Linked DNA regions of Mus musculus. The protein of the gene in region 2 purifies or fractionates together with the protein of the main gene of each other region. This does not show direct contact. Links are inferred from orthologs where the notes say so. Each region holds a gene or a part of one and is shown on either strand. Other genes may lie near its edges. The genes, in order: Ep300 and Nfya.

What was found.
Region 1: the proteins of Nfya (region 2) and Ep300 purify together in Homo sapiens (affinity purification with western blotting, with the first as the bait; 3 studies listed by BioGRID). This does not show direct contact. The link is inferred for Mus musculus from reciprocal best matches to the Homo sapiens genes NFYA and EP300.

Annotation. Positions count from the first base shown.
Region 1 is NC_000081.6:81,641,672-81,645,481, reverse strand, and holds part of Ep300 (histone acetyltransferase p300), read right to left. Parts: intron 2,456-3,810; coding exon 2,291-2,455; intron 608-2,290; coding exon 446-607; intron 1-445. UniProt on the Homo sapiens protein: Functions as a histone acetyltransferase and regulates transcription via chromatin remodeling. Acetylates all four core histones in nucleosomes. Histone acetylation gives an epigenetic tag for transcriptional activation.
Region 2 is NC_000083.6:48,406,765-48,411,000, forward strand, and holds the start of Nfya (nuclear transcription factor Y subunit alpha), read right to left. Parts: upstream 3,057-4,236; 5' UTR 2,862-3,056; intron 1-2,861. Other genes in the region: ADP-ribose glycohydrolase OARD1, read left to right, coding at 4,102-4,140. UniProt on the Homo sapiens protein: Component of the sequence-specific heterotrimeric transcription factor (NF-Y) which specifically recognizes a 5'-CCAAT-3' box motif found in the promoters of its target genes.

The DNA.
Region 1 (3,810 bases), on a different chromosome or scaffold from region 2:
AAACTGGGATGAGAGTGGGGCTCTAAGTAACATACAACATTTGAAGAGCAAATCTGAAAAAGCGTTGGAACAGGATATTGATCTCAGAACTAGGAAGACAGAGGCAGGTGGCCCTCTATGAATTCAAGGCCACCCAGGGGGTTACAGAATAAGACCCTGCCTTAAAAACGTCAGAAACCCAAGCAAATTTATCAACAGGACTAGATAAACAATGCTTATCCTTTAAGACACAATGCAACACCATGTAAATTTAGAACAGCCTCAAAGAACATTTTTCATAAGCAAACTCTATATGCATATTCTCTTCATCTCAGTCAACCCTCTTCCAGTCAAATCATTTCTTCCCTCTGAATTTCCAGCAACCTGGAGTTTTCATCATGCCAGTTGGGTGAGCAGCTTAGAACCCCACCTGCCACATCCTTCCACCCTGGTGGCTGCCTCTCACCTCTTTATGCTTTTCCATGGTGGCATACAGTTTCTGAGAAAGGTCATTAGACACATTGGGCATACCAGGCTTCTTCTTATTGCCCCTACTCAGGCTGCTCTTGTTTTTGCTGGTTTTCTTGTTATTCTTCTTCTTAGCATTTTTGCTGTCTCCTTTTGTTACCTGTAGGGCAGCACAGAGGAGAAATGAAAAGGCTAGGTTGTTAGGATTGATCTGGATATGAGGCTGAAGTCTCTCTTTAACTCTTGACCGAGAATTCTTTTTATTATTATTATTTTCTGCAGTTACTCATCACTCACTATTTTCCTTTTAATGTTTCTTTTCTCTCTCTCTCTCTCTCTCTCTCTCTCTCTCTCTCTCTCTCTCTCTCCTTACTTCCTTCCTTCTTTCTTTCTTTAACTTGCAAGCAAATGCTTAACTATTTTTTTTTTGTTTATCTGTGTAGCTTGATGAATGTATGCCATCTGTGTGCAGGTTCTCTCTCTGATAACAAAACTGGAGTTACAGAAAGTTAAGAGATGTTGTTTTGGGTACAGGGAAAAGAACTGAACTGGGTTCCTTTTGAAGAACATCAAGTACTCTGAAGCCTTTCTAAGTTGCCTGCCAACAAAGACCCCAAGCTTCATTATGGAAATGAAAGCTTGTAAACTTGTATTTTTAGAAGAAGTCTCAATTTGCTGGGCACTGGGGACCGATGAATTTAATCCCAGCACTCAAGAAACAGAGGCTGGCAGATCTCTGAGGTAAAGGCCAGCCTGGTCTATAGAGTGAGTCCCAGGAAAGCCACGGCTACACAGGGAAACGGTCTTTAGAAAACAAAACAAAAAACAAGAAGAAAAAACAGAAAAGCCCCAGTGTGCAGAAGCCATTGACTAAAGAGGTCAGATACAGACAAGACTGAAGAATGAGTGGCACCATGGCCGGTGACCAAGGAAAGGAAGAGGGAAACCAGCAAGCTACCAAACACTCTCACCTATTCAGTCATGAAGTTACCCAAAGGATAAATCTGGTAAATAAGGGGTGGGGTGGAGTGGGGGAGGGGAGGGAGAGGGAGAAACACAGAGAACTTGAGATTACGGATGGGCACTGCCATGCTTGCCTTAAAAGGTCCTGGAGCCAAACTTAGTCATCTAGGGCCCTTGTATTTGTGCATACCATGGCACACACCTGTAGAGGCCAAAGGACAACTTATGGGAGGCTGATTCTCTGCTTCAACCATGTGGGTTTAGGGAATGAATTCTGGGTTTGGTGGCCAAGTGCTCCAGCCTTTTTTTTCCCCTTCTTTTTGGACAAGGTTTCACTATATAGAAGTCTGGCATTGGAACTCAATGTGTATCTGCCTACTTCTGCCTCCTGAGTGCTGAAATAAAAAGGTGTGTGTCACTCCTTCTAACCTGCCCCCGTTTTATTAAGCTGAAATCCAGAGAACAGTCAAGATGTGTCTGGTCAGTAACTGACCAGGATACTATGAAGGAGACAAGTTAACTCTGTTCCAGGCTTTTGTCTGCCTGTGATGCTCAGCACTTCTGGGAAAATAAACTAGAGAGCATATGCCTGTAGTAGCTATAATTTGGCCTATTAGATGTATTTTTCTGTACAGTTTTCCAGGAACTTATATTGCTCAATATCCAGGATACTACTTAGAAATACAGAGCCTCTTCGTTCTAAGATAGTTTGGCTGCTATAAAGCCAAGGTTGGCCTTGAAGTCTGGGACCCTTAGTGCTGAAATGAAGCCCATTACACTTAGCAGAATTTAAATTTTACACCAAATTGAGAGTGTAAACTCCTTTCTGTATTGTCAGTGAGGTGTCAAGGTAGACACTGCAGACACAGAAAGCCCTTACATCAGTACTCTCGTTGCTGGTGTTCTCTTCCCGTTTCCTCTCTTCCTCTTCCTGTTCAAGCTCCTTGATGCTTTCTTCTAGAACATTGGGCCAGAAATCACCTTCAAAGTAGGGTAGTTCCTTTGCACTTGTTAATCGATCTTCAGTAGCTTGTTTTAAAATATCCTGTAAAAAAATTCCCATGATTAGAATTTTTTTTTTATTTATAAAGGTTTATTTATGTCTGTAAGTACTCTGTAGCTGTCTTCAGAAACCAGAAGAAGGTATCAGGATCCTCCCATTACAGATGGTTGTGAGCCACCGTTTGTTTGCTGGGAATTGAACTCAGGACCTCGGAAGAGCAGTCAGTGCTCTTAACCACTGAGCCATCTCTCCAGCCCCTGATTAGGAATTTCTATGCTTTCTTTTTAAAATATCTATCTATCTATCTATCTATCTATCTATCTATCTATCTATCTATCTATCTATCTGTTTTTTGTTTGTTTTTTTTTCGAGACAGGGTTTCTCTGTGTAGTCCTGGCTATCCTGGAACTTACTCTGTAGACCAGGCTGGCCTCGAACTCAGAAATCTGCCTGCCTCTGCCTCCCAAGTGCTGGGATTAAAGGCGTGTGCCACCATGCCCAGCTCTATTTATTTTTTGAGACAGGGTTTCTCTATATTGCCCTGGCTTTCCTGGAACTCTATAGACCAGGCTGGCCTCAAACTCAGAGAGATCTGCCTGTCCTTCCTGAGTGCTGGGACTGAAGGCGGGCACATGTACCACAACCACCTGGTTGGCTCTGTTTTTAAAAAGCTTTCATTGTATGACAAACATGAAAATGTTCTCTAGGGCACAGGCCAGATTTAGTCACAATACTCATTTATAACAATGTATTTCCTTCTTTCTTTTAGAGAGGGTATCACTATCTATCTACCCTTGGTTCACTATGTACAGAGCTCACTATGTAAAGCAGGCTGGCTGGTCTCCTTAGAACTCAAGAGATCTATCTACTCCAGTCTCCTGAATTCTGAACCATACCCAGTTCTTTCTTTTTTGAGACAAAGTGTCCCTTAGCCCAGGATGGCCTGCAACTCCCTATATAAACAAGTCTGGCCTCAAACTCAGAGATCTACCTGCCTTTGTCTATCCACTTAGAGTAAAGACATGTACCACCATCTTACTTATGACAGATTTAATTATTAAAAATTAGATTTATTTTATATGTATACATGTTTGACTGCATGCACATGTGTGCTCACAGAGGCCCCTGGAATTAAGAGTCAAGGATGGATGTGAGTAACCATCTGGGTGCTGGGAATCAAATCTGAGTCCAAGTGCTCTAAATTACTGATCCATTTCTCCAGACCCCCATGACACTTTTGAACTTTGAATTATCCTGCCTCAGTTTCCAAATTGAGATTATAGGCAAGCACTACTTTGCTCATATGTAAATCACCTAACACCCAGCCTTTCTAAATTTGAAAATTTATGTATTAAAATTAAACTTTAATAAACTAAAATTATAACAGTTACACGTTA
Region 2 (4,236 bases):
AGGGCTACAATATAAGCAAGCATGGCCCCATGATAAGAAACTCTGACATCAGAAGCCTAGACAGAAAGCAAACTGGAGTTCCTTGAGCCTGAGGGAAGGAGGTGGGAGAGACTGAATAGATGAGCTAGCTCTACGACCATTTTGGGGATGACCAAAGTTCTCACCCTTTTTTTCAAGTGGGACTGTACAGGTGTGGAGAGCTTTAAAAACTCACCAAAATACAGATATACAAGGATTAGATTTTAAAGTTTTTTTTTTTAAGATATTAACAACCTCTGTATTTTACCGCTTCCACTAGCCCCAAGACGCTTTCCTATAAAACTTTCTTCTTGGCTAAATGTCCTAAGTCTGCATCGTCTCAGATTAAATGCAGAATGGAGCCTGAAGTGGGCAAGAGGGCTGGAATAGCTGTAAGGAACATTTGGAGTTGACTCAGTTATCTTGCTGATACAAATGCTCCACTCTTAGGCCATTGAAACCTACTGGGCTTTGGAGGCAGCTTCAAACCCAGCAGCCATTCTGCATTGATAAGGGAGTGGTGGCGCTTGGAGCACAACCCTCAGGTTGCCCATGGTGCCGACTTCTTGGCTCCAGTGCGGCCATATGCTCCTTCCTCCATCAACTCAGCCAGCAGAACTGTGACACAACCTGACACACTTCCTTTCCTTACGCTTTCTGTGCCCAAGTTTATGACAGAATTGAGCCAGCTGGATTTAGTCTGTCTAGCTCTTCTACAGACTTGTGAATGTGTTTTTGAAAGTGAGAATATGAATGAATAGGAATGAGAATGGGTTTATTCTGGCCTCTGAGACATTCTCTTCCATAGCATTTCCTGCCCATTTACATGGCACAGAAGTAGCTGGCCAGCACTTAGAATCTTCAAAAGCTGAAATGCCCAGAAATGCTCCTACAATAAGCATCTGATCACCGCAGTCCATCTGACCTGGCATCACACACACACACCCAGCTAGGGCCTTTGAAGGCTCCAGTGTGCTCCTTGTCTCCACTAAGGAGATAGCATGAACTAAATAACAAAACAAGTTAACTTCAAAGAGGCTTTTAAGTCTAAAAAGGAACAAAAATGTGTATTAGACTCCTAAAGGGAAATACAGTAAATGGAGTTTGGGGGACAGAGGCTTTTCCACTGGGGACAAACCAAGGAAAGCACTGGGAAAGGGTGTCATGTGAGTTAGGTTTAAGTCTGAGATCTCACCCAGATGAAGGTAGTATAGGGTGAAGTATTTCAAACAAAGGGAGATGCCTGGGCTGTGATTAGATTAGAGAAATCGAGAGTCTGCACTACTTTTTCTTAAAGTGCAGATGCAGAGGAACCAGTGGAGGCTCCACAGGTCTGAGTCACAGTGACTGAGGAGAACTGCCTTTTGTCCACAAAAACATTTGGCAGTTTTGAGGTGGACATATGCATCCATTTTTTTTTTTTAAATACCAATCAAAGTTAGAACACCCAGTCCAAATACAAGACTATGGGGTAGAATCCTCAGGTCAGCAACCTTCACCCCCAAGGTTAGGGGAGAAATCCACTCTAGATTAACTTTTAACCTCCAGTCAAAACCGTTTTCAAAAAATTCCTTTGTAAGACCTGCAAAGGTTTTTACCAACTGGACTTTCCCGCCTAAACTCAGTACTCCCGGCCTTTCTGCGTCCAACCGCACTATCTGTTCCAGTTACTCTTTTCAGTCTTTCCTCTCTGAGGACATCACCCTCCATCACCAATCAAAAGCGTGGCGCTGAAAATAGGCTTCCTCATGTAAAGTGCACTTCTGGGTACTGGATCAGATCCCTATGAAACACTAACACCAGTCAATCTCCACCGAGCAGACATAGCTCCTAGCCCTACTCGCTTGCAGCACTTGGGTGACGTCCGCCAAAGACTAATAGCTAGCAGTCCTTGGAAGACTTCCTGTCCCCCGAAGGGGGAAAGAAAATCTAAGCACGTGTAAGTTTTAAAACATCAGTTGAGAAAACGTTCGCGCGGGATTTCAAGGTGTATTAGAAAAAAGAGACACGAGTGGGCCGAGCTATTGAGTGGAGAGATTAAAGGAAAACAAAACCAGAGAGCATCCAAGGGAGAAAAGATCAAGGGAGGAGACAGGGATAATAGGAACTGCGAGATGTGTGCCCCCAATCATTAAGGATGCACAAGGGTTATCAGTTCTGCAACAGCGGCGTTTCAAACACCGAGACACTGAGCAAAAAGAGGAAGAGTGCTTGGTTGGGCTCCAGCACGGAGGTGTGCCGGCACCGCGGGCTGAGCGGGGAGGAAATGACGAGCCAGAAAGGGGTGGTAACGGCGCCGGCCCGGGAGCCCCGGTGGCGGGCCGAGAGGAGGGGCGCGGCAGGCGCGCCAACGGCCCCGGGGTGGGTCTTGGGAGGCCGCGCCGCGCGTCTCAGTCTGGCCTCGCTCCGGATCTGTAGCCCCAACTGTGCAGAGCTCAGGACACACGGGCCTCGTCGGGGCCCGGAATGTGGGGACACACAAGGACAGGCCGTAGGATGAGGCTGGAACGACGTGGGGAAACCGCCACGGTCCGTGGCTGGGCGGTCAGCCACCTGACCTCTCGGGACCGAGGATCGGGGACCGGTGGCGCATCCGCCACCGGCCCCCGGAGACGATCCAGATCCCGAAAAGCCTGGCTCCAGGACGCCGTCCCAACGCTGGACGGCCCCTGCAGGCCTCCACCAACTCCGAGCCGGGGCTACTGGCTACCCAGCTCGGGCAGCCTCGGCTCGACTCCCGGGCTCGACGGACGCCTGGGCCTCTCCTGAGTGGTCAGCGAGACCCGCCAATCGGGGCGCTGGGGCCGGCTCTGGGCCGCTGGATATTGGCTCCTCATACTCACCGTGCCTCGCTCCCCCGGTTCGCTGCCCGCGCTGATTGGCTCCAGTACCGGACCCCGAAACCCAATCAGAGGCTCCAGCCGCCGCTGCCGCCGCCACTGCCGCTGCCTCGCAAAATGGCGAATCTGAACAAAGGGGAATCGGGCCTCCCTCCAACCGCCTTCGCGCAAGCGCCTTCGAGACCACGCCCCATAACCCCGGCCAGCCTGGCCCCGCCCCCTAGGAAGAGCACCGCGCAGGCGTTCCAGAGGCCACACCCACTTCCTGGATTTGACACCGCCTCCCGCCAAAGGCCTACGCAGGCGCCTTTCACACGCTCCGTACGCTGCTGCTTAAACACCTCCCTGAATTATATACCACGCAGGCGCTGACACGCCCCCCTGCCCACCTATTTCTAAGCGTCCACTGGGACCCACCCTCTGGGGCCGAATGCGCAAGCGCTCTTCTTCTCCAGTCGGGGTCGGCATCTCGGTACGCATGCCTGAGCGGTAGCGGGAGCCTACGGAATTTCCCGCCGGAAATTCTGAAGCCCTTACTACCGAGAGCGGGCGCCGCTACCCAGCTAGAGAGGCTCACTTCCGCCCCGTTAAGGGATGGGGGCGGCCATCTTGAGTGTGCGTACAATCAAAAGGCTTTGGCGGGATTTGTTGCGTGTCGGGACTCTTCTGTTGCTTTCCTACCTACGAGGGTTTCATCCCGAACCCTTCCCTGCTTGGAGGAGGGCCTGCTGACGGCCGATTCCTTTGCAGGTGAAGGATGACCCCCCAGTACCCACTTTTCTGCGGGATCCCAGGGTTGCCCTCCTTAGGGTAGGAGGAGAGACGGGGAAGTCTTATCAGACCTTCCTTCCTGTACCTCCAAGACTGGTGGTGATCTTCCCCTGAGAAGCAGTTCTCGGCTCACCCTGCCGCTCAGTGTAACTGTGGCCAGGTCTTTCCCGTTCTAAGCTATATTCTCTGGGAAAATTCTGGACTGTCCTAAACCTTCCCTGCTAGAAGTAAGGAGGTGTGTCTTAGGACCGCCTTTGCTTCGGCTCCTGGAAAGCTGTTTTGTGTTGCCTCTTAGAGGCTGAGTGAGCTCACATCCAGAAAGAATACCTTAAGGAGGTGGGGAAGACTAAATGGGTTGTCAGGGTGATCTGAACACGCTATGTTCGGGCTGCCTGAGCGGTATTTTTTTACTTGCTTTTCCTTTTCATTAGCAGAAGGAACTCTTAAATTCTGGAAATAGCGACTCAGTAGCATGGCCACCCGCCTTAATGAAGATCCAGAAGGAAGTCGAGTGCGTAACAGCTATTAAATTTATCGGTGAAGTGAAAATCAGAATAATTGAGGTCAAAAGCATAAACACTTTTTAATTAAACCAATAATTGGATTC